3 linked regions of the Solanum lycopersicum genome follow. The protein of the gene in region 3 binds, or shares a complex with, the protein of the main gene of each other region. Links are inferred from orthologs where the notes say so. Each region holds a gene or a part of one and is shown on either strand. Other genes may lie near its edges.

Region 1 (8,500 bases), on a different chromosome or scaffold from region 3:
GATTAACTTTCTTCAATTACCTGTCCAATAAGCATAAGTTTGCTCACCTCTTTAGTGGCTCAAATTTCATGGATTCAACCTTAATTTGCTACTATACGAGCAAAGGAAGCTTTTTTTTCCTATAGTTTTGATACAACATAGGCTTGTTTTGTTTCAGGGAAACCGCTCTGGTAGTTCTATGTTCCTATTGGAGGAAAATGGTCTAGAGGGAGTATTGAGTAGAATAGTAATATTATCAATGCAGTATGAAAATGCTTATTATCTTCAATATGGTGTTCTCTGTAGCTATTTTGAAAATTAAGATCAAAACATTAATTTTGAATATTTCATGTTGCACCTGCAAGATGACCACACTTAGATGAATTTCTTTCAGCGTTTGTAAATGATCAAATTCAATTTCAGCACTGTTCCCACTCCATATGTGCCTTCCTTTTTCATTTGTTAAGTGTGTGGCTTCATTTTCAATTAGTTAAGTGGAAAATAGCTTTGAGATGTTGCGCCTTATGATCAGTGACATCTTATGATCTCATGACTTTATTGACTGGTTTACTGGAAATAACACTTGCAGGTGGTTTATTTAAGTATTTCTGAACAATTTATTCATGCATGTACATTAGAGGGTGAAATAAAGAGGGTCATTCTCTTGAAGTATGAGTTGTTTGAGGGGGATAGAGTTTGCTCTGATTCAAAACTGTATAGTAGCTACTGGTGAAAATGGCTTATTTGAATTCACTTTATCAATTACCTGTCTCAGACGAGCTGGTGGTGTTATCTCTTATCTGTCATGCATTATCTTTTCACTTGAAGGATCTTCTCGCGATTCAATATACGAAATTTGCTTTTGATTTCTTCTTGTATTTTGAGAAAGAAAAAAGGGGTCTCTTTCCTTTGTTCACTTGGCTTATGCTCTTACTTTGTGAATGTTTTTTACATTTTCTCATGCTCTGTCCTGCTATATTAATCCATGACATTACTGATATCTGCAATTTGTTCTCTGTTTGCCGTTGCGAATTTCTGAACAATATATTCATGTATTCACTTGATTACTGGTTAATTTTAGTATAAATATTAAAAATATGCTAGACTTTACGCTCTTATATATGATTCATTCTTATCTTGCATTGCTTCCTACAGAGTTGTTGTCAAATATTTGTTTTGGCTGATTCATTAAGTTCAATGCATGCTTCAATTAGCTAATTTGATTGTGCCACTTTCTATTTAATTTTCTTTCTTCCTGTTGCTCAGGCTTAATCTGAAACAGTGGAAATCAGAGAGAAACCGAGGGAAAAAGCAAAAAGGTAATGGCAAAACCATCACAACCAATTCGAAATGAGAAGGAGGAGATAAAAGAGACTGATACTACGGCATCCACCAACAATAATGAGAGCAGCAAAAAGAAGGTGACAAGAAAGTTGCCAAGCGCGAGAGAGCTTGTATCACACTATGAATCACAAGGCGTTGACTCTCAAGAAGCTTCCTATAAGGTCATTGAGGATCTCCAGGGTGCTCTTTTCAGGGTGATCAGCACCTCTCGAAATGACAAGAATCGCAATAATAATAGGAATGTGTCATCTGAAACCTCTAGAAAACTCGATGTTATCAATGCTCGACTGCTCAGCCTTGACATGAAAGTTGATTCCAAGCCAGGCTACCCTCAAACCCTCGCCATCGGGATGGCCTCTGGTGGCCTTCTTCAAGTGCTCCCTCGTGTTGCAGAATCGGTTGTCCAAATTTGGAACTCTGTTAGAAATGCTACCAACTCAAAACAGTAATAGACCATAAATCTTGTTGGTTAGCAATGCTTTCTTGTAGTCATGGTTTTTTCTACTTCTGAAGTAGAGTTTTGTTGAACTTATGATATGCCAAAAAAATAGAAAATTGTTCTCTTAAGGCCCCATTGTTCAACCTGGTGTCATGTATCTTTAGCATGTATATCACAAATTTTGGCTGATATACAGTTGTTGTCACCCAAGATCTATGGTCTTTATTTCTACTAGATGAGCGTAACGTTTGCATACAGTCTATATTCTTTTTACTCAACTCATGAAATCACATTGAATAAATTATTAATATATAGTCAAATCGGAATTTCATATTTTATTCTCCACATTAACTTTTCTTTTTCATTTGATGATATTAAAAGTTCAAAAAAATAATTTTGTCCTATTTTCTTTATTATTAATTGTTGATAATAATAATACTTGGAGGCTATCACTATCATTGTGCTCCCAAAGCAACGTGGGCACACACCTAAAGAAGATAATATATGCACATTTATAAAATTTAGTAAATCTACACCTTCCATTTTGTACTTATCCTTTATCAACCATTTTGATCTCTCCATGTCATCAATATTTATCCTCTAAGTTTTCCTTTTATATTTTTTCACTTTCCATTTCTACCCTTTTCCACTCGCTCTTCGATCAAGAGTATTTAAAATATTTTTTTTATTTCGTAATAAGTAAAAATAAGATTTACGTATATTTCAATATATTTGTTGCATTATTTTGTAAATTATCTGCCCTCCAATGAAGAGTCTTTTTGAAACAATTCATTTTTATTTCTTAAGAAATAAGAATAAGATTGACATATATTTCATTGCATTTTTTGTATTATTTTATAGATTAGTCGAGGTGTTTTTAAGCGAAAGTAGAAGGAAGAAAAAAGTCAACTGAGGGCATTATTGTAAATAAGTTCAATAGTGTGCCTTATCTTTTACTGTATATATATAAACACGAGAACGTGACTCTTATTACTTTCTCTCTCTACATATACATACAAAATATACATATGTATATTCACTAGCATTATTGGGAAGACATGGGGAATGCGAACGCCAGAGAAGACGGCGCCGCCGGAGACGGCGACGGCGACGGTCAGGTATCGGGAAGAAGATCTAATGTTGAATCTGGAATAGTAGAAGATCACCACGCTCTGAACTCGCGAGTGCCTTCGGCTGACTTGATGGTCAATTCTCCTCCGCAGAGTCCACATCGTTCAGCTTCACCTCTCTTGTTCGGACCTCAGGTTTCCATTTTTATGCTCATTTTATCCTATTTATTATATATACATATGAAATAGTATATGTGTATGTGTTTGTTTGTGGTGTTGGTGATTCAAAGGGGATTTAGGATTTGGTGTGGAGTAGAGCTCAAATGAGGTCTAATTTGAGCTTTAGATATAGTTCATTTGTTCAATATGTAAACTTTTTTTACCTTTTTGGAGATTCAAACTAAGAATTTTGTCTTAAAAATGTATTTTTTAAAGGAAGGACAGGGTTTTGATCAATATTAGTGTACTGTTAGAGTCCTATGTTAGTTGGAGAGGGGAGGGACTGGCAATGCTTAATGAGCTAGCTTTTTGGGATGAATTAGGCATTAGTATCGTATATTTTACTTGGTATCCGAGCTGGGTATTGGCTTTGTTTATATGAATTTGAGCAATCCTCTCTTAGTGAGCTAGTTTTGGGGGTTGAGTTATACTCAAATGTCATAACTTTACATGGTATAGAGTTGGATCCATGCGCATTCAAGCTCCTTGCCCACACTACAGTTGGACCTGTTCGTGAAGGGGTGGTTAGAGTTCCACTTTGGTTGTATAATGAACGGATGGTCTGCTTATATGGACTTGGGTGAGCTAGGTTTTTTGGGTTGATTTAAACTAAGTATCATATCTTTACAAGTACCAGAAAACACAAAAGAATGGACTTGTCTCCATTTAAGTATTTAAGTAATCTAGCAAATGATGAGCGAATGCAGTGTAGGGTCTGTGCCATTTACAGTGTTCTGTCTTTTCCACATATAAAGTTTGCTCGCCATGGGGTATATACTTGAGAAAAGATGAATCATTTGCCCTTCAAAACATCTATGATTTCTTTTTATTTAAGTGCACTTCTTACCATATTGATATGATGAGAATCACAACTTATAGTACTTTCTGTTTTGTTTCCAAATGTCTAAATTTTAATTACAAAAAATGAGTTGATCTAGCCTGATTTACTGCAAAAGTTGGTCTCGTTGACTCTTCTTTAGAAAATGTGCCAAACATATTAGGATGGAAGAAGTAATCATTTTTAAATGGTTTAATCGTATGATGGTCAGCTAAGGTGGTGGATACACCCACACCCTATGCAATTACTCTGCATGTTATACTGCCTGTCTGTATGCCTTTGAGTTGCGGTGATGTGTCTGCATCTATAGGGGAGAGTTGCAAATTGATTGTAGTGCTGTTCATTATATGCTTAACTGTGATTTGTTGTGTTTTCCCAATGTAGTAGCGATGAAGTGTTCTGCTTGACACTAAATTGAAACACCTATAGGAACAACCATTACAACATCCTGATCCCAGATCGGTAATATGAATCCTCTATTTTCATTCCACTTCTATTAGGTTTTCATGCTATTCCTATGTGAATTTCCTTCAGGAAAATGCTGAATGAACTCTTCTTTCTGTTTAGTTGGAAGCTTGCATTATAGGGCTTGCCTGAGTGTTGGCCTAGCCCTCTGTTAAATGGGAAAAGGGAAAGCATCTCATGGCCTGTCTATTTGTTGGGTAAAACAGACAACTAATTTATATTAGCAAGGTACATGAAAAAACAAAAGGAACTTATGCCAGTCAAGCAAGCTATAATGTTTCTGTATAAGAACCTAGTGCATCCGGGAGCAGGTGGCGGGTGCAGAAATGTTATGCTGTAATCTTAGTAGGACTGGTGAAACCTTAGTCAATCTGTAGTCAAGTGACAGTTTTTCAGCTCTGAATAATTCACTCTTATTCACTTTGGCTGATTTTTTTTCCACCTTATATATGATGAATATTCTTCATGTTTTGTAGTCAGCACTATCACTCAAAATTTAGGCTTTTCAAAGTGGACAGAAGGGAATAATGTCCCTCTGAGGTTGGCAATTACCCAAGCAAGCACCTCTTATTTTTAGTTAACTTGGAGATAGACCAGAGCAGTTAATTGCTTCTTGGGCACCCCAATCGTACCTCATAAATACTTACGACTGACTAGTTTCGAGACTAAACTCCTCTTTATCATCCTTTCAGGTGCCAGTAGTTCCTTTACAAGGAGGGGATGGCAATCCTGTTAGCAATCAAATGTGGGGCAATGAATGCGAGGATGCCTCTGATCATTCACTAGAGGGCGGCATACCTACTTTGATAACATGGAGTTATGGTGGTAATAACGTTGCTATCCAAGGATCTTGGGACAACTGGACATCAAGGTATACTCTGATTCAACCAAGTACTAGCCTGTGATCATTCCTGTTAATGGAGTTTCTGAATGTATCCACTAATGATATTTGCTTGCAGGAAAATTCTCCAAAGATCAGGCAAGGACTATACCGTTCTTTTGGTCCTTCCATCGGGTATATATCATTACAAATTCATTGTGGATGGGGAAGTTAGATATATTCCAGAACTTCCATGTGTAGCAGATGAGACAGGCGTTGTCTTTAATCTTCTTGATGTTAATGTAAGTGAGAGTTCTGTTTCCTGATCATTTTGATACATTATCACAGCGGAGGCATCTTTGATAACTTCAGCACATTAATGCATAAACATGTGTTTTATAGTCTATATACTTGCTGTTCCCTGATAATGTGTTTGGCTCATAACACGTCCTTCATACAGGACAATGTTCCAGAGAACCTCGAAAGTGTTGCAGAGTTTGAGGCCCCACCATCACCTGACTCTAGCTATGCGCAAGCTTTGATGGGAGAGGAGGATTTTGAAAAGGAGCCAGTGGCAGTTCCACCGCAACTTCATCTAACTGTTCTTGGTTCTGAAAACTCAGAAGAAGCACCTTCTTCTCCAAAACCCCAGCACGTAGTACTTAATCACCTCTTTATAGAGAAAGGATGGGCTTCTCAATCCGTTGTTGCTCTTGGTTTAACGCATAGATTCCAGTCCAAATATGTCACAGTTGTTCTCTACAAGCCACTGAAGAGGTGACCACTCCGTGTTTACAATCAAATCTTTCTAGAGCTTTCTCAGTGTGGCTGCTTTAAGATTTCCACTGTTTATAGACCTGCTCAATGTTCAAACTTCCTTTAACCTCTCCTCTGTTGTACAATAGAGCAATGCATTTTCTCGTTTCTTCACCTCATCTTTTTGGTGATTTTATGTTCATAATGTTTTTTTAATCACAAAAGGATTAATGTGCAAACTGAAAGGCAATTCACCACCAATGCATCTTTTGGAAGACAGAGAACAAAATAACAAATATCTCTCGTCCCTTCCTCGATAGGTTCTTGTTTTTTGTGGTTTATTATTTTGGAATTCAGTGAACTAATTGTAGCTGGCATAAGATTTTCTATTGCATATAACTTGTCATTAAAGATCATCTCAACCTCAATTTTCATGGCCAAATATTGCTACACACTTTATGCAAACAGGATTAAAATAACGATAATACATCTAACTTAATCCATCTTTTCCCTGAAGAAACAACAGTAGTATCATTAGTGATTATTTCTTCTTCTGCAATTCCTTTGCCTTCGCTGCAACTTTTTGAAACACAACTTCTTCTTCCCTTTATCCACTTCCATAGACACTAGATCCTCGCTGTAATCAAAATATTTTAGTTACCTGAAATCAAAACTTAGAAATGATTGTTTCTTCTTCTGTAATTCCTTTGCCTTTGATGCTTCTTCTTCCTTCCTCTCATAATTTTGTGCTCCATCTCTAGAATGATTCTTGCAAGCCATATCGGTTTTCCAGTTGACAACATGAAATATATTATGGATAATCCGATACATAGTCCACTTCCATACCCCATAAGAGCACCTTTCCAGAAATCACTCTGAAATTCAGAATTGCTTCCAGATACGGTTTCATTTGTATCTAATACCCCAGCATCGCTGCAACTTTTTGAAACAGGGAATCCACGTAATCCATCATTTTCTTCATATGAGTTGCTCTCAAAAGTGTGAAATTGAGGTCCTTGAGGAATGCATCCTCGGAGATGATTATGGGAGAGGTTTAAGAATGAAAGAGACGTAAGAGAAGCCAGTTGTTGTGGTATCTCTCCCGAAAGCTGGTTTCCTGATAGGTCCAATGATTCAACTGAAGATAAATCTCCGAATGATGGTGGTATTTGACCTTGGAATCCATTATGTGATAAATTCAATGTATGAACTGCAATGAGATCCCCCATGATACTTGGAATTTGCCCTCCAAATTTATTACTTGAAAGGTCAATAACAGTGTACAAATACAAGATACTCACAATTTCACGCTCAAATCCCTTTGTTACGACAGCTACTGTGTCTTGGTAATATCCATCACTTGGTGCCTTCTTTGATGGATCAATTGTCTTCATGGCTTTCAAATGTTGAAACAAACCCGTAGGTATGTTTTCTGTGAAGTCATTGGAAGAGACATCCAATATTTGAAGCTCAAGAAACATGTTTTCACTTCCTAAAGTTCTAATGGGTCCATGCAACTTATTCGATCTCAAGCTTAAAACTCTCAACTTAGGAAGAGTTCCCAACCACATGGGGAAGATGTCATTGAGGTCGTTATCTCCTAAATCAAGAACTTGCAACTCTTTGCAATTGGCCAAAGATTGAGGAATTTTCCCCTTTAGTTTATTGCCATGTAAGTTGAAGCTTCTAAGTGTTCCAGTTCTGAAAGTCATTGGAAGAGTCCCAGAAAGATTGTTGTGCTGCATATCAAGAACCTCAAGATGACCACTGAAGTTGCCAAAACATTGCGGGATCGCTCCATTCAGATCATTTCCACTTAAATCTAGAACTTGTAGTGATGTTAAATCGCAAATAGATAAAGGGAGCTCTCCACTGAGATTATTATGTGACAGTGTCACAAACTGGAGAGTAGTGATATTAGCCAAACATTGCAGAATTTTTCCTTTCAAGTTGTTTCTCGACAACTGCAGGAACATGAGGAATGTCAAATTGCATATAGATGAAGGAATTTCCTCAATCAGATTGTTGTCATGGAGATACAGCACCCGCAAGTTTCTCAAATTACCAAAGGAAGAAGGAATTGCACCAGTGAGTTGATTATTGGATAATGTCAGATGATAGAGGATACTAAGATTCCCCAACTCACTAGGGATTAGGCCAAATAGTTGATTATTGAATAATTCCAGAGCATTGAGGTTTTTCAGATTCCCCATCTCTCCAGGAATCAGGCCAGAGAGTTGATTATCATAAAGTTGAAGATATTTGAGCTCAGTTAAGTCACCTATAGTTGTTGGAATTATACCAGAAAGATTGTTTGTATGTAATATTAATTCCTGAAGTGACTTCATCTTCCCTATTTCTACAGGAATGGAACCAGATAATTCATTGAAGGGAGCAGAGAACAATTTTGCATTGGTCAAGTTGCCTATTTCTGGAGGGATATGACCTGTTAATTGGTTTGTTTCAAGATAAACTTTAACAACATTGACAAGTCTTCCTATTTCTTTAGGAATAGAGCCAGAAAGGTGATTATTATAAAGATACAAATAGGACAAGTTGTTCAAATTCCC
Region 2 (8,181 bases), on a different chromosome or scaffold from region 3:
TAGTTTTTGTGTGTTAGCCCATGAATATTTTTGTGATATGACTTTCAAATAATTTTTTTGCATAACATTTTTCAAAACGTTTGTATGGTGTTAGGGGAGCAATATATGAAGCCTAACCTTTTATGATATATTTTGGACATTTAAGAGCCATTTTGCACAATATTTCACGTATTGCTCGTTGAACCCGTATGAGAGTTTTGTAAAAGTTTTGCATTAAAAAATCGTCTGAAAATAATATCACCAGAATATTTATGGGCTATAACACTTTAAGACTAAGAAATTATGTTATTTTGTAAAAATGAATCTTAAATATCTAAAATATGTGAAAAAATGGCGAAGCTTCATGTTTGCTCCTCGTACTCCCTATTGAGAGTTTTGTAAAGGTTTTACAAAAAAATTGTTAAAAAATCATATCACCAAAATTTATGGACTAACATTTAGGAAAAACTAAGTAAATTGTCTAATTCATGTAAAATGGATCCTAAATGCCCAAAATATGTGCAACAACGGTGAGACTTCTCGTACGGGTCCTTCGACTCCCTACGGAGGTTCCATAAAGCTTTTGCAAAAAAAAAAAAGTCATATAAAAGTCGTATCACCAAAATATATATTGATTAAAACGCACACACAAATTGAAAAAATCGCTTAATTCCTTTAAAATGACTCATAAATGTTCGAATATGAAAAAATGGCGAGACTTCAAGTACTGCTCTCCAAACTCCATATGAAGGATTTCATAAAGACTTTGCAAGAAAATCGTTCGGAAGCTATTTCATCAAAAATTTCATGGGCTACACATACGAAAAACTGAGAAAATCACCTAATTCTTGTACAACGGATCCTGAATGCCTAAAATATGTGCAAAAAATGGTGAGACTTCATATATTGTTTTCTCAACTCCCTACAGAGATTTCTGTAAAGGTTTTGCAAAATAATAAATAACATGCATGCAAATTCTAGAAAATTGCCTATTTTTTTGTAAATGATCCCTAAATACCCAAAGTATGTGTAAAAAATAGTGAGACTTTACGAACTTCTTTCCCAACTCCCTATGAAGGTCTCCGTAAAAATTTGTAAAAAATTGTCTTAAGCCATATCATCAAAATATTTATGACCTAAAACACATGAAAACTGAGAAAATCGCATAATTCCTATAAAATGAATCTTAAATGCCCATATAAATGCAAAAATGGTAAGATTTCACGTACAAATCCCTCGAATCCCAAAATGATTTCATGCATGATGCATCATGTATCGAAAATGTATCATGATGTAATGTATCCAAAAGTTATCATAGTACTATCAGTTATCTATGTAATTGTTATTTGCGTTCTAAATCCTGTAATGTCGTATCAAAAATTAATCAATAGTGTAAATTTCACTAATTAATCACATTATTGCATTGATTGCTTGTATTAATTAAGGCCATGTGTATTTAATAGTAACAGTCTAAATTGTATCTTTGATATAAAATTGTGTCAAAACTTTGATATAAATAAGAAAAAAAGTAATATTATGCAATCACATATACTTGATTTCGAAATCACTATTTGAATCATATTAGGAACGAGTAAAAGTTGTCAAGTCTACTCAATTCGAAAAACTTTAAGCCAAATGATATTTGAAGTTAAGATGAATTTCAAACACTATATTTGAAATTATATTTTCTTAAAACGTTCAAATATGTTTATCTAAAATTAGACTTTATTAAAATTAACTTTGAAAGTGACACCTCTAAAGTCATTACAAAGTAAGTAAATGTGAGTTTTCTTCTTTGTTAATTTAAAGTTCAAGTTCAATATTCAAATGATTCTTTCTTTTTGTTTTGATTTATAAGTATATATGGTCCAAAGCTATTTCATAATTCAATATTATATTTTGTGGCGGTAAATGAATAGCTTGAGTTGAGTATGGACGAGTTAAAATAATTTGAACAAAAACGAATTGAATTTTCAACCCCCATATATACACACTTTTCCAACACTAATCCTATTGTACATAACTTTTGTAGCATTTCATTTAGGAAAAGTTTTGCAAATAGCAGTAAAAACAACTTCATTAGGCTTTATAGCTATCGTTTGCTAATTACGATTCTTAGCTACATGTTAGAGGCGGAGAAACGAGCGAAGAGAGGGATGAGAGAGGTGAGCCGAAGAGGGCAGAGATTAGAGAGAGGTGGATTATAATTATATATTTGCTGACTTATACATGTATATTGATTATATAATTATATATGTAACTGATATACATATGTATTTGTATATCTTTACAAGTTAGACTGGAAGAGAGAGGAGAGACTAGAAACAGAGGACAAAGAATGAAAGAAAACAAATTGTATTTGTATATCTATCATATTATTGTATATGTATATGTATAATTTGTATATATATAAGAGAGAAGAGAGAAGAGGGAGGAAGATAGGAGAGAGGCACACATAATTATAGCTAAAACAGAGTCTGCGAGTTATAATTAATTTAAATTATAACTATAATAGCTAATTAACTAGTATATATATATATATATTTATCCGCGTAATTTTCTCATTTCCTTTATTTACTTAATTTGTCATGCTCTTAATTAGGATATTTTATAACTTGGCCCATTTGCTCTTTTTGCTTAAGCCCAATTGTTTAATCTTTATGTTCCTATTTTTCTTTTTTTGGCAAAAGTTTTATTTCTTTAGAGAATTATGTTTTTTCCTAAAATACAATTTTTGTGATTTTGTAATTTTGATTCTTTTGATTCCAAGGCGGAATCTTCTAGGTGAGATACTCTATATAACCTGTAAAGAGTGTGGTTTTTTTTTTTTTTAGCTTTTGAGTTTCAGAACCCCTTTTGTTTTTCTGGCATTTTCAGGTGAAATTCATTGGTTTTAGTTCTTGGGATTACTTTTTTTTGCTTTGTGTAAACTTAAAGTTTTGATTTTTATGTGCTTCTTTGCCTGTTTCTGTAGAGTTTGTGTATAAAAAAGATCATTTTTACTAAATTCTTTATCTTTTTTTTTCTGCTCTGTGTCTTGTGGATCAATTTGGGTGTTTTTGTTTAGTAGTTCTTGTTGGGTTTATCTGATTTTTGTTTATAAAGTTTTGATTTTTCTGGCATTTTTCAGGTGAAATTCTTTGTTTTTGCTGTTGGGGTTATTTTTTTTTGGTCTATGTAGAGTTAAAGTTTTGATTTTTATGTGCTGCTTTGCCGTTTCTGTAGAGTTTGTGTTGAAAGAAATCATCTTTACTGAATTCTTGATCTTTTTTCTGCTTTGTGTCTTGTGGATCAATTTGGGGATTTAGGTTTAGTGGTTCTGGTTGGATTTTTTTGTTTGATGGATTAAAGTTTTGATACTTCTTGTGTTTCCATTGTTTTTTGTGCAGATGGGTTGTTGATTCTGGTGAATTCTTTGTGTGTGATTGAAGAACCAAAGAAAAGTTGAATCAGGTTAGTGTAGCTTGTGGACGTTAGATTAGTTTATGAATGTTTGTCTTTGTAGTTACTTGTTGTGTTTGCGAATTTATGATTGTAGAATCAAAATCACACATGCGATCAATGTGTACAGATTGTGTAGATTCCCCATGTGAATGATTTTGGATCAATTTAGGGTTTCCTTTTTTGGGTGAGGGGAGGTAGATCGTGGTACTAGGATACACACTACCCTCCCTAAACCCCACTTGTGGGATTATGCTGGGTATGTTGTTGTTGGTGCTGCTTCTGGATAGATTATTGATACATGTTAAATAAATTTTTTAGAGGTTGGCAAAGTAGTTGATTCTTATTTTAGAAAGAAAATCCTCGGTCAAGAAAGATCTGTAATTTCAAATTGACAATCTGTAGTATCCGATAAGCAGCTTTTATCCACTTTTGGTGGGTTTTGTGTTACTGGAGTTATCCTGCACTTGGAAGAAGTAGGAATTATTGGTTCTTCGTCAATCACCTGTTTGAAGAACTTTTAGGAGCGATAAATGTGTCTCAATTAGCTAGTGGGATAAACAGAAATGTAATTGAATCATGCAGCCACGTGGTGTTTTGCATCGTAGATTAATTATTAGCACTTAATCATGGAGAAGGAAAGAGTTACGTATCATCTGCCCTTGAGCATGGAAAACTCCTGGTGATTTACATGGTAGATAAGTTTTTTGCACTTAATCACAGGGAAGGAAAGAGTTCACGTAGCATCTGCACTTGAGCATGGAAAGCACATGGTGTTTAGGATGGTAGATAAGTTATTATTAGCACTTAATGGAGAAGGAAACAGTTTACGTAGCATCTGCATTTGAGCAGCGTTTCCATGTTTGTGCTCTCCCCTTAAATTACATGTAAAATTAGCTATACACGTCTAATGAGCTGTGAGTGTACAGTGTACACTTGCTTTGTATGATAGTGAAAAATGCACTACTTATCAGGAAAGATAAAAAGAGTATTTACAAGAGTGCAATACTGGATGTTTGCTTAAAAGTGTGGATACTTAAAGATGAAGCCCAATAGAAATAGGTTGAAAGGAGTTAAAAATTTGCATAGTAGATTACAAATATTAGTTAAGAGAGGGATTTGGTGGTGATTATCATAAGCACCGCTGTCATCAATGTTTAAAAGAATTTAAGATAAACATAGTTGGTCCTCGAGGAAGCTTTTGAAGTTAGATTAATCATTTTAGTTAAATTTAATTATATATGTGTGTGTTGGTGCCGATGCATACAACCTCCTACTGATGAGAACTATTATCTATCAACTTTCAGTTAGACTTCTGTGCAACCTTGCTCTTGGAACGACATTAACAAAACGAAGAATTTGTGGAATAGTTCAGTGTTTTGTTTCATTGTAAATTAACTAGTTTTGAAACGGTGGTCTACCTACCACAAACTCCTCCTTTATCTGGATTTGTGACTAGCAATTTGAGTAAGCTGACATAATTTGTTTGGGATTGAAGCGTAGTTGTAATTGCTTTTGGCTGATGGAAATGAGTTAGAAGAGAGGATTGGTGGAGTGGAAAGGCTAAACCAATAGCTAAGGCTTTTGAATTTGCTAGGACAAACTCGCGGATGGATAATTCTAACTATTTGACATCAGTTATTAAAAACTGTTAGTTGAGTTGTCACATTCGAAGACCTGCTCTTATCTTTGGCTGTATTCTTGGGGCAGTTTAAACAATATAACAACTACTACTCAATCCCAAGCTAGATTCTTTCACTTGTATTTTAATAATCTGAGAATATATGCGATATTGACGAAGTTTGAATTGCTGCATGTTTTGGATTTTTTTATTAAGGTAACCAGTTGGAATGTGGTGTGGAGTGCAAGCATTTATGGAAGTAGGGGTAAGAGTATGGAATTGTGTACGTGTTCCATCTATATATAGGCCTTGTTATTTTTAAATTTACCCTTTTTAGCGTCTCATTTTTTGTGTATGGTATATGCCATAATGGGGTCATCGGCTGATCATTAAGTCAAGATGGATCAGTTAATGTTTTCAACTTTGTTTTCATACATTACTAGTATAGAGTCATTCTTCTATATTTGAGAATATTAGAGGCCAGATAGAGTCAAATAAGTTAGGTACTTGTGGTCATTTCGTAATTGAAACTTTTGGTAGACAGTTTACACCCTCCATCCGTTTTTACTTGTTCAGTATTGACTTGACACACCCTATAAGGTGCAATACATAGAATGACAATTTACTATATCACCTTTTGAATATAATAAATTTATATTTTGGAAAATGACTAGTTAGTAATAAGCGTAAATTAGGAACTAAGTGATAAATTATATCTTGGTTTTCTGAACTGGACAAGTAAAAGCAGACAGCTATTCTTAGTACATGGAATTGAGGCCCTTTGTGGTTTTATAACCACACATGGATTAATCGCTAATCAAATCATAGGTTTCATCAGAACTCAACTATGAGAAATCTATGGTGTAAAAACTATCATAGAAAAGTTAAGAGTCATCATGTTCGTAGCACAAGATTAAGGGAAGAAGGTTTAGAAGAAACTCAATCTTTTGAATCCTCCTTGAAAAATCTCGAGTTCAATCTTCTTTTCTCTCTATATTTTCCTGAAAAACTGTCTGGCTGTGCGGCCTCCCGTCTGTAACAACATCCAAAAATTTTCTTCTTTTTCACCCCTTGGAGAACTGTTACTGCTAGTATTTTTGGAGCTGGAGGAGGATTTCTTATGTGAATTATAGCTTGAAAGCGGGGCTTACCTTTTACACAAGGATTTCTCTTCCTTTTTCTACTTCTAGAATTGAGAGTGCTATTAAAGCTCATGTGTTTCCATCTTCAGAATAAAGTTAAAGTTACAATATCTAAGTTTAGAATGTGGGGGGACGTGTTAAGTTTGTTGACCATGTTTGAAAGCCTTCTTTTTGAAGGCAGAGTTGGAAGTTCTTCGATCGATGATACTTTGATTTTGGATAGGTTGAGGTATCTAGTTGGGAAGAATGAGTTTGATTATGTTTGAGGGGAATTTCCTACATTGAATTTTAAGGGAGGAGAGTGCGAGTCCGGTGCAGCATAGTTGGTGGATAAGTGCGTGTTAGCTTGAAGGAACTTGTTCTAGTATTTTAAGGACAAAGGGTATAGTGTGCACCGTTATTCTTATTTTAGTAACAAGTGTTGATCTTGTATGGTGTCCTGTGAAACTCTTTTTTATCTCTCTCTTGAATATACATTGAAGAAGCTTCTGTACAAGTTCCTAGCTGCAACAATTTGTTGCTCATTTCGGTTTGACATGTTCCGGAGAATAGCTCTGTAGATCTTGCATGAATGTTTCACCCTAGGTAAATGTCTTCTTCAGATTCTACGTATAGGATAGCAGTGCTATCAAAAGCAAAAAACGCAAATAAAACGTGAGCTTTAATGCAAAAAGGTGCCAAAGGAGAAAAAACAAACAAATATTATATGTTTAGTCCAAGACTAATAATTTATAAGCATGAATGACAAATATATATACAAAGAAATTGAAAAATAATTACAATATCAACTGTTTATGTCGTCTCTTCAGAAGAGGTTCATTAGCGAGGAAAATTATGCCATAGAACCTTGATGACAACACTGTAGTGCACATTAAGCGACGCGAAGTGCTCGACATGATTTGTGCCTCATTTCAGGGTTTAAGCGTGCCTTGGATAACACTGAGGATTAGGATCTTGTTGTAGATATTTATGACAAACTTCTACAGTAGAAAAGAAATGCTTGAAATTGTCAAAGGCGCGCTTATGCATTGAAGGCGAGACTCAGAATTGTGTTGAGCACTTCTCCTCGCTTAATGTGTGCTTTATCATCATCATCAAGGCTCTAAGACATAATTTTCCTTGCCAATAAGCCTCTTCCGAAGAAGCAACACCAAACAATTTATTTGTTCTATTTTTTCAATTTCTTTGTCCGTATGTTTGTCATTCATATTTATGATTGTTAGTCTTGGACTACACCTATATATATGTATATATATATATATATATATATATATATTTGTATTTTTCTCCCTTTGCACCTTTTGCATTAAAGCCTCAACAGACCTCGGAGCTTTTTTGCTTTTGATAATACTGTTGAAACCTTGAAGTTGGTCATCTTAAATTAAAGCCGATCATTGAACTCGGTCATTTTCTTCCACGGCAGGTGCCATTTATAACCGGGAAACATAATTGTACCACTGTCTTTGTTCATTTGAATTATCTCGATCATTGAACTCGTTCATTCTCTTCCATGGCAGGTGCCATGTATAACCGGGAAACATAATTGTACCACTGTCTTTGTTCATTTGAATTGTCTTTCCGTTTATGTTATGTCTTTTAAGCATACGTTCAATTTATAAGGCTCTGAATTGTGTCAATTAAAGGATTTCATTTCTCTATTTCAGTTTGTGGGACTCTTCGTTTTACTGAACATGAATCAAGCACATCGATATGGCGAAGCTCAAGTAAGTTGCACATTTCATACATACTGACTGTACTATTGTTTGTTAAAACTATGCCTTAATCCAAGTTATACACACAGGATGAAGCTATCGTGACAGGTTTCGAGATACCAACATCACCTGATGTAAGTTACAACAACGTTCATCCTGGAAACGAAGATGATGCTCGTGAACCACCAATGGTTCCACAACAGCTGCACACTACTGTATTGAACCACCCCAGTGTGACTAGGGATCAGTCTGCAGAGCTTCCATCACCACAACATGTGGTTCTAAA
Region 3 (8,465 bases):
GGTAAATCCTAAATCCTCTTTACAACAACCTCGAACAAGCCGGGGAAACAGAAAAAAGGGAACTCAAGAAACTAGCAAGCGATAGAGCTACATAGATTGACATAAAAGGATGATTATGCAGATGTTGAACTGGTAAAAAGAGACTATTTCATAAATATTATGGTAAAACCTGGTGCGGATTCTTTTTACTGCATCTTCTAGTCGCCCGTAACCAGCTTATTGACCAACAGTAACATATCAGTTCCTGAGCATTTCTTGTGCAGAAAATCCAAAATAGTTATCGAAGAAGTTCGATGGTTCATAGATGAAGCAGGAAATGACATCTCTGAGTGTGATCACACCAACAACTTCATCGCCATCCTCAGCTGTCACATAGATCCTGTGAACTAACTTGGACGCGAGAGTGTCTATCACAGTACAAAGAGTTGAACCGAGCTTGCATGTTATTGGCGTAGCTGCCTTTGTGGCATCATGGGTTGCCGAAGCAACTGTGTTCATGAAACCCGCAACTGTCAGCTGCCTGTTATTCGAACGAGCAAAATTTAGTACATACACACAAAAAAAAAAGAGGTGAACATCTCTGAGCCTAATGATAAAAGTCAGAATCGCTTTTCCATTTAATCATTGTTCGATTTTCTTGCACAACTTCAACCATAAGAAAGTTTCCCAAGAATTGAAACTCTTATTATTTATCGTAGAAGTAATCAAATAGTAATGGTGGGGTCGAGGGTGAGTCTTCCGACACGGCTGGACGTCTGTGGTTCTAGACAAAGGGGGTTATCACAACATCCTTTCCCGATAGACTTGAGGTTCTTCATAGACAAGTGGATAGAAGATCTTCTCTCGAAAAGAGAGAGAGACCAAAGATTATAGAGGAAGGTATTCGACTAAAAAAATTAATACGGCAGCTCATTATCAGCAAAGAACTAACAATTTATATGAACACATACCTGAAATTGGAGAATAGTTCAGGTTTGAGTAACAAGAATCTGATGTCTCTTATGCTTACATTGCCAACTATCTTCTTCTTTGATCCTTCAACAACCGGCAGACCTCCGATATTATTATCTCTCATTTTCTTGAATGCTTCCAGAATCAGTTCATCGTCTCGGACACTAATAACCTGGCATACACATTGAAAGACAAGACTTCCAGTCACCAACTTTTGTATTATTAAAATTAAAAAATACATAGTATTCAGATGTAACAAATGACAGACCTCGTCAGCGGACATGTATGGGAGGCCAAGTTCTGATATAGGGTGAGCGGAGATGCAGTCAAACCAATCCCTCCCTTTGCATCCTACAAGACCCCGTACCACGGCTGATTGAGTTATAAAGTTCTTAAGGTATGGACTTCCTCTTTCTATCACAGGTACATTCCGCAGCCTATATTTTGATAACAGCAGCAACACACTCAACATAGAACTGTCCATTGCTACTGGAACAAATGGTGCCCATCGATAGGATTTTATGATGGAGCTCACCTGCGAATGTAATTACTTGACCTTGTCATGTGTATTCATGTCAAATTCTCTGAATATATCTGTAATAGCGCTTTGATATGATCATTATTTTTCATGTTAAAGAGTACTAAAGACGCGAAGCAGCTGCAAATAATTTAGACATAAGCACCCTAAATAAGAAGGGTAAAGTCTCTCTTAATCAATCAATTCAATCCTTTAGAAGGCATGCCCACCTTTGTTGACTTAAAGGGTTCTTCTTGAAGGATAACCTTGTAGAAATCCTCACCCAAGTTATTGGCCGCAGTTGGAGCATCCTTTCCCGCTCCTCGATCTGCAGCCACTCCACCTGCCACAGCTGCACCGACTGCAGCAACCGTTAGACCAGCAACTGCAGCAGGACCTGTTGCACCTAATGCCAGTGCTCCAAGAGCACCAGCGGTACCTGCTCCAACTCCGGCTGCTGCTGCCGAACTTGCTGATATGGCAGCTGCTGCTGTTTCCGCACCCTCCAGCACCCAAAGAACAATAGCGGAGTAATCAAGGACACCTAAGTACCTTTCTCTCCAATCCAAACTATTCTTAGCCACTGGATTCTTCACAGGAACTGAGAGGATGTTCGATTCTGAAAGAATTTTGACAGCATCGCCTATAGAAGTCTCGGCGTCTATTTCAATTACTGGAATGAGGTATACGTAGCCGTTTAGGATACAACATTGGATATCAAAAACATAATCACGAGAAAACTTGTATATTTTATATACCTTTTCCTCCAGGGACTTGAGGGAAGGATGAAACTGGAATATTTGCAAATGCATCAGTCAAAGTTTCCTGCAAATTACGGGGCAATTTCTTTCTTTTCTGGGCCTTTTCAAAATAAGCATCATAACTTGCAAGTTTCGACGTATTTTCCGTAATTTTTGCTTGTGCCATTTACTTCAATATACACAGAGAAGGGGACCTGGCTCTAAGAATATATTCCTGAGAAGCACCATGACAACAATCAGATCCATAAACTTTAAAGAAGATAGTGATAGTCGGTAGAATCTCTGACCATCAAATTGAGTTAATAACTTTGATGGTCACTCAACTATCAATTCTTTTCATAGAAAGTCACTCAACTTTCATTTTAAACTCAAAAGTCACTTAACTATGACTTCTTTGCACAAAAAATCACTCAAGCTATTTTATTATTTTTTTCTTTAAATTTGCTGACATAGAATTTTAATTATTAACCAAAAATTTAAGAACTAAATATATATCCATTTAAACCATTTAATTACTTGCCTCATTTAACCTTTCATTTTGTGCTTTTCTGTTCTATGAAAAATTCGCAGTAGCAGTTGTAGTAGTAAATTGAGTATGAGAAAAATAGGGGATTTGAAAAAAAATCTAAGAAATTTGAAAGCGAATGGGATATGGTGGGACTTGCGAGAACGGAGTTTGAATAAAACATTTCTATATCCAGTTGGTGTGTCACTAGCAAACCTCGACTATTAAATGTGCCCCAATGCAAAATTTGTGATAATGTGCATGTATTCAATAACCACTAAATTGACAAATTTAGAAAGAAAAAAAAAACAAGAGAAGAACGTAAAGGGAAAGGATGGGGAGACAAAGGGAGAATCATCAGGGAATTAATGGCAAAATAAAAAGTTCAGTATTATATTTCAGTGGCTCCGGGTAAATCGGGTGGGTCATTAAATGGTTTAAATGGATATATATTTGGTTCTTAAATTTTTAGTTAATAATTAAAATTTCATGTCAGCAAATTTTAAACAATAAATAATTTGAGTGACTTTCTGTGCAAAGAAGTCATAGTTAAGTGACTTTTTGAATTGAAAATGAAAGTCGAGTAACTTTCTATGACAAGAATTGATAGGAAAACATCATTGCTACAAACTTATGCCTACACTCGATTGAAGGATTCAGTGACTCATTAGTTCTTATTACAAATGTCTGTAACTTTGTATTTCCACTTAAGAATAATAATGAAAGATTGAAACTAATGGTAACAATAAAATCTCTTTCTGCTCAGTACCATCTCAAAAATAAGCATCATAATAACTCTGTAATTATGTTTATATTGTGAATAGGGTATCAGAAACTCTGTTCCTGAGAAGCTCCTCCCCCCAGCAAAAGTCGGAACAAAATCATAAATAGGACAGTTGCAACAATTTATGCAGAGTTTAATCAGAGTACGTTGATCAACACATTACTTGCTTAATTAGCTATGTATAGATTTGAAAGCCGCGCTAAACGCAACCACAATGAGTAAGTGAGAGTTACACTAGAGAAGAATTTTATTGGACTGTCCTTGCAAAAAGCCATAGGGGAAGAACATATGTCGAAGAGGTTCAAAATTTGAAAACTTGAACACACGAACTAGCACAAAGAATTCGACATCTAATATACATGCTTTCATGAAAAATAATTATAACCAGGTAGTATAATATTGGGCTAAAACAGTCCAAAAAGATGGTGTGATGCTGTCCAAACATAATGTAATCATAGGCGAAGCTAGAATTTGTACAACATGGATACACTTAAAAAAAAAAACATGTATTAAGTGAGAACTAAACACAAGTAAATAACTAAACAATCCAACCAATTGCACTATTTAGCCTTCGGATAGGTGTCAATACAAAAAATATTTACATAAAATATCTAATTTTACGTGCCCCTTTTTAGCCTGTAAACTCCTCCCTCAGTGTGATATTAGTTTTCCCCAAAACAGCTCAAAACATTTAAGAGTATTTATCACCTTTTCTACTTCCCAATCAAGAGTATTCAATTCCGTATATCAATTTCTCAAAATATTGGACCAAAACCAAACCTAATCAAATTTTTTTTAAAAAAGATCTCTTTTCACATTCAATTACCTAATTATGAACATTCTAATCAATTGCTAAACCCACACACTAATAAGATATAGTAATAATAATAATGATAATAGATAGTGTAAAATTGAAGAAAAAAAATATATGTATATATATAGGTACCTGTGAGGCTGCTGTGCAGAGGTTTTAATTTTTGTGCTTGATAGAGAGTGAGATGTGTAATTTGGGTGTAAATCTTTTGTTAGTGATGATGAGATGACAAGTTAGTTACTACTCTTGTTTTTGCCATCTGTTATGCTTACCCGCCACGTGTTACTTCATCCATGTATTATAACCCACCACCACACCACCAACCATCTCATAACAAATTTTCGTTTTCGAGAGTTTTTCGATCTGAATATATATTTGAATATTAATTTTTAGATAACAAAATATTTTGATTTAATTATTAAATAATAAAATGATATATTGTAATTTGTAATATTATGAATTTTAGGTATGATCATATAAATATATCTCAAAATATATGAATCGAAATTGGGTGTAATGTGTGCAGACATACTATATATCCAAGTAGATTCGCATGTATATATCTGAGATACGTAACAAATCTTCAATATATAAAAATACATGTATTTAGTTTGTATCTTGTGCGATTTACATTATTCACGGATTATATAACAAATCTTACTTGTCTCTCTTAATATTTTGGTGTACCTAATAGCAAAAACACATATTTATGTGTATTTTCCTTAATGTATGATAGAAATTTTTTAATTATTGATAAGATATGTAATATTTTTAAAGTATAAATAATAATAATGTAAATGGTAATAGAACCTTGTTTTTATTTTTTCACGATTTAGTCCCTCTGATCCGTTCAAAAATAGTTATTTGCTATATAAAAAATAGTTATTCGATAATATTTATCTAATCTTAAAAATTAAGAAACGATTTACCTTTTGTGTCTAGTTTACCCTTCCTATTAAATAATAAGGAATCATTTGATGTGACAAATAAAATGAATTAATTCTTGGATAACTTTTGAGCGACATTTTTCATTGTTTGGTTGCAAAGGTAGGAATATCTTATCCTAAGATTAACAATTAGTTTTAGGATAAGTTATGGTGGTACAGTGATTCCCTGGATAAGGCGTGTAAATCAACAAGAATACTCTCTCTTAAACTCTCTTTTGAACATCACTTTTACATTCATACATATTAATATAATTTTCAACAATATTTATAATAAGATTGACAACTTCAATTATTTGTTGTTTTTATGATAAATATATTTTTCTATTAAAAATTTACATTTTACAAATACAAATTTTATTTATGAATGCATTATAAGTTGAATTCATTTGCCTAATTTTTATGTTTATTTATATTTTGATTATTCTTAAAATGTTTACTCTACTACTAAATTACGTATCTTTTAGGGATAATGTACAAGTACCCCTTCAACCTATACCCGAAATCTAAGAGACACATTTATACTATATTAAGGTCCTATTACTCCTCCTGAACTTATTTTATTAATAATTTACTATCCTTTTCGTTCTACGTGACACTATTTTGTGAGCCTATTGTTGGTTGACTTTTTTTAAAAGATAGTGGCATGTAGGCTGAAAAGGGGTAGAAAATTACTTATAAAATATGTTCACGGGTAATAGAACCTTAGTATAGTATAAGTGTGTTTCTGGGATTTCGGGCATAGGTTGAGGGGGTACTTGTACATTTTCTCTATTTTTTATAAATATCAAAATTATATTTTATCAATAATTAAAATCTAGATAATGTAGATAACTCTAATTTTTAACTAAATAAGATGACAGTTTTATTTTTAAGCTAAATAAGATAAAAAATTTATTTTTAAGCTAAATAAGATGAACATTTTATTTTTAAGCTAAATAAAATAAACGTTTTATTTTTAAGTTAAATAAGATGAAAGTTTAATTTTTAAAAATATACACTGCATAATCATGAAAATGCACACACAAAAATATTTAAGCTAGTTAAGATGGTAATTTTATTTTTAAGAATGAATAACAAAGGCTTAAAGAAAATGTAATAAATAAATAAAAATTAAATAAGGTGAGTGTATACGACTTATTCTTACAATTATACAATGAATATTAGTTTGAATATGACAAATCAAACAAGCAATAAAATCTAATTTCAACATAACTTATCCAGTATAACGTATCTCAACATAACTAATCCTAGCATAACTTATATTCATAACAAAATTTGTTATGTCCTAATTTAATAATTTAAATTCAAGTTCAGAAAGAATTTTGTGAATTTTGGGTGGTCAACAAAATTCATATGTTATTTCGAAAATAGAAATTAAAAGATCTATTATTTGTATTCACTGCCCAATCAAATGATGGATGAAACGGTTAGGATTCAAAAAATTGGCCAGATTTTTACTCTTGAAAATTATCGTTGCGGTCATCGATAATGAAAACATGAAACACGGCACCAACTCCTCCTAAACTTGAGTTCTTTGATATGTCAAAGGTTTAGGACTTAATAATATTGATGGTAAGAAGGACGGAGTGAGTTGGGTTGATTGATGGACTTTTGATGTTTGAAAGGAAGATGAAAATGGTGCAAAAAAGATTGATCAATGGCAGAAAATTAAAGTATATTATAGATTTGTAACTTTACCTTTCAATATTAAAACTTGAAATTTCTTAACTACACATTTCATTACAATAAGTTTAAAGTCGTCACAAATAAAACTTGTAATTCTTTTCTTCAATGGCAAAAAAGTTTCATCAAACAAATGTCATGAAAAAAAAAGAAGAAGAAAGGGACCGGAAAGAGAAGAAAAAAATATAAAAGGAAAATAGAATAAAGAAAAGGGATAATGCACAAGTACCCTCTCAATCTATGTTCGAGATCTTAGAGACACACTTATACTATACTAAGGTCCTATTACCCTCCTGAACTTTTTTTATAAGTAATTTTCTATCCTTTTTCGGCCTGCGTGGCACTAACTTGAAAAAATGTCAACCGTTGTTGGGCCCACAAGATAGTGTCTCGTAGGTCGAAAAGGGGTAGAAAATTATTAATAAAATAAGTTCAGGGGGGTAATGGACCTTAGTATAGTATAAGTGTGTCTCCGAGATTTCAGGCATAGGTTAAGGAGGTACTTGTGCATTATCTCTAAAGAAAAAGATAAGAATTTTTTTTATTAAAAAAAAGAAAGGTATATATATATATATATATATATATATATATATAAGGAGACTATATATTCCATTTTAAAAATGTATTTGGGGGGTGTTAATAGGACCTCCGTAAAGTATAAGTGGGTAGTTGAAAATTCGAAGGTTAAGGGGCATTTGACTATTTTCTCTATTTGAAATAAGCTATGAAATATTTTGTGATCCTAAATTATTTTAGGCATAATATATATATTGGATCTTACACTTGACTTCAGATTTTAACTTTGACCTCCAACTTTCATAATGCACAAATAGACACTTTAACTATCCAACTTTTAAATAAATAAATACATGAATTCTACATGGCAAAATACACGTAGAACACCACGTATGACAAAAACTGATATGTAGGATGATATGTAGGACATGTGTATCTATCGGTTCAACTTTATACAAATTTAAGTGTCTACTTGTGCACACCCAAAGTTGAAGGGCATAAATGTGATTCGAAGTCAAGTTAAATGACATATTTATGTATTATGTCATTAACAAATTTTTTTAAGTTAAATCATAACTCTAAATAAAAAAAATTATTACTTCAAATATATATTTAAAAAAAACGTGTCTTTCTTTAAAAACTACTCCATATGTCTCAATTTATGTGACTTCCGTTTTTAGTTAGTCCCAAATAGAATGACACATTTCTATATTAAATAAAAATTTAGTTATAAAATGCTTATTCTACCCTTAATGAAATGATTTTATTAGAAACCTTCAACCTGAACTTGAGCAGCCATTGATGAGGCTGTGAAGTTCCATAGCCAAACTAGTGATGTATATCCTTGAGATTGTATTGTAGAAAATGATTGATTGATTGCATTAATCACCCAAGAGGTGTATATATACATGTGATTTGTATGAATCAATCTAGTGGAGAAAGAAAAGTTAACTAATCTAACAATCTAACAAACTCTAACAAACTAAT

Evidence for each region.
Region 1: SNF1-related protein kinase regulatory subunit gamma-1-like (region 3) and GAL83 share a complex: the UniProt entries of both Arabidopsis thaliana proteins name them as parts of the probable heterotrimeric complex. The link is inferred for Solanum lycopersicum from reciprocal best matches to the Arabidopsis thaliana genes AT1G69800 and AKINBETA1.
Region 2: SNF1-related protein kinase regulatory subunit gamma-1-like (region 3) and SNF1-related protein kinase regulatory subunit beta-3 share a complex: the UniProt entries of both Arabidopsis thaliana proteins name them as parts of the probable heterotrimeric complex. The link is inferred for Solanum lycopersicum from reciprocal best matches to the Arabidopsis thaliana genes AT1G69800 and AT2G28060.

Annotation. Positions count from the first base shown.
Region 1 is NC_090811.1:69,118,684-69,127,183, forward strand, and holds GAL83 (SNF1 kinase complex anchoring protein), read left to right. Parts: upstream 1-2,800; 5' UTR 2,801-2,820; coding exon 2,821-3,027; intron 3,028-5,046; coding exon 5,047-5,225; intron 5,226-5,313; coding exon 5,314-5,476; intron 5,477-5,634; coding exon 5,635-5,955; 3' UTR 5,956-6,175; downstream 6,176-8,500. Other genes in the region: uncharacterized protein, read left to right, coding at 1,302-1,772; receptor-like protein Cf-9, read right to left, coding at 6,605-8,500. UniProt on the Arabidopsis thaliana protein: Regulatory subunit of the probable trimeric SNF1-related protein kinase (SnRK) complex, which may play a role in a signal transduction cascade regulating gene expression and carbohydrate metabolism in higher plants.
Region 2 is NC_090810.1:59,795,610-59,803,790, reverse strand, and holds the start of SNF1-related protein kinase regulatory subunit beta-3, read left to right. Parts: upstream 1-2,623; 5' UTR 2,624-2,763; exon of another isoform or gene 2,764-2,856; intron 2,857-3,089; exon of another isoform or gene 3,090-3,105; intron 3,106-3,365; exon of another isoform or gene 3,366-3,368; 5' UTR 3,369-3,432; intron 3,433-5,257; 5' UTR 5,258-5,270; coding exon 5,271-5,324; intron 5,325-7,847; coding exon 7,848-7,907; intron 7,908-7,984; coding exon 7,985-8,181. UniProt on the Arabidopsis thaliana protein: Regulatory subunit of the probable trimeric SNF1-related protein kinase (SnRK) complex, which may play a role in a signal transduction cascade regulating gene expression and carbohydrate metabolism in higher plants.
Region 3 is NC_090800.1:6,171,941-6,180,405, forward strand, and holds the start of SNF1-related protein kinase regulatory subunit gamma-1-like, read right to left. Parts: upstream 4,599-8,465; 5' UTR 4,465-4,598; intron 2,444-4,464; 5' UTR 2,396-2,443; coding exon 2,227-2,395; intron 2,142-2,226; coding exon 1,699-2,141; intron 1,487-1,698; coding exon 1,220-1,486; intron 1,124-1,219; coding exon 951-1,123; intron 521-950; coding exon 238-520; 3' UTR 1-237. UniProt on the Arabidopsis thaliana protein: Regulatory subunit of the probable trimeric SNF1-related protein kinase (SnRK) complex, which may play a role in a signal transduction cascade regulating gene expression and carbohydrate metabolism in higher plants.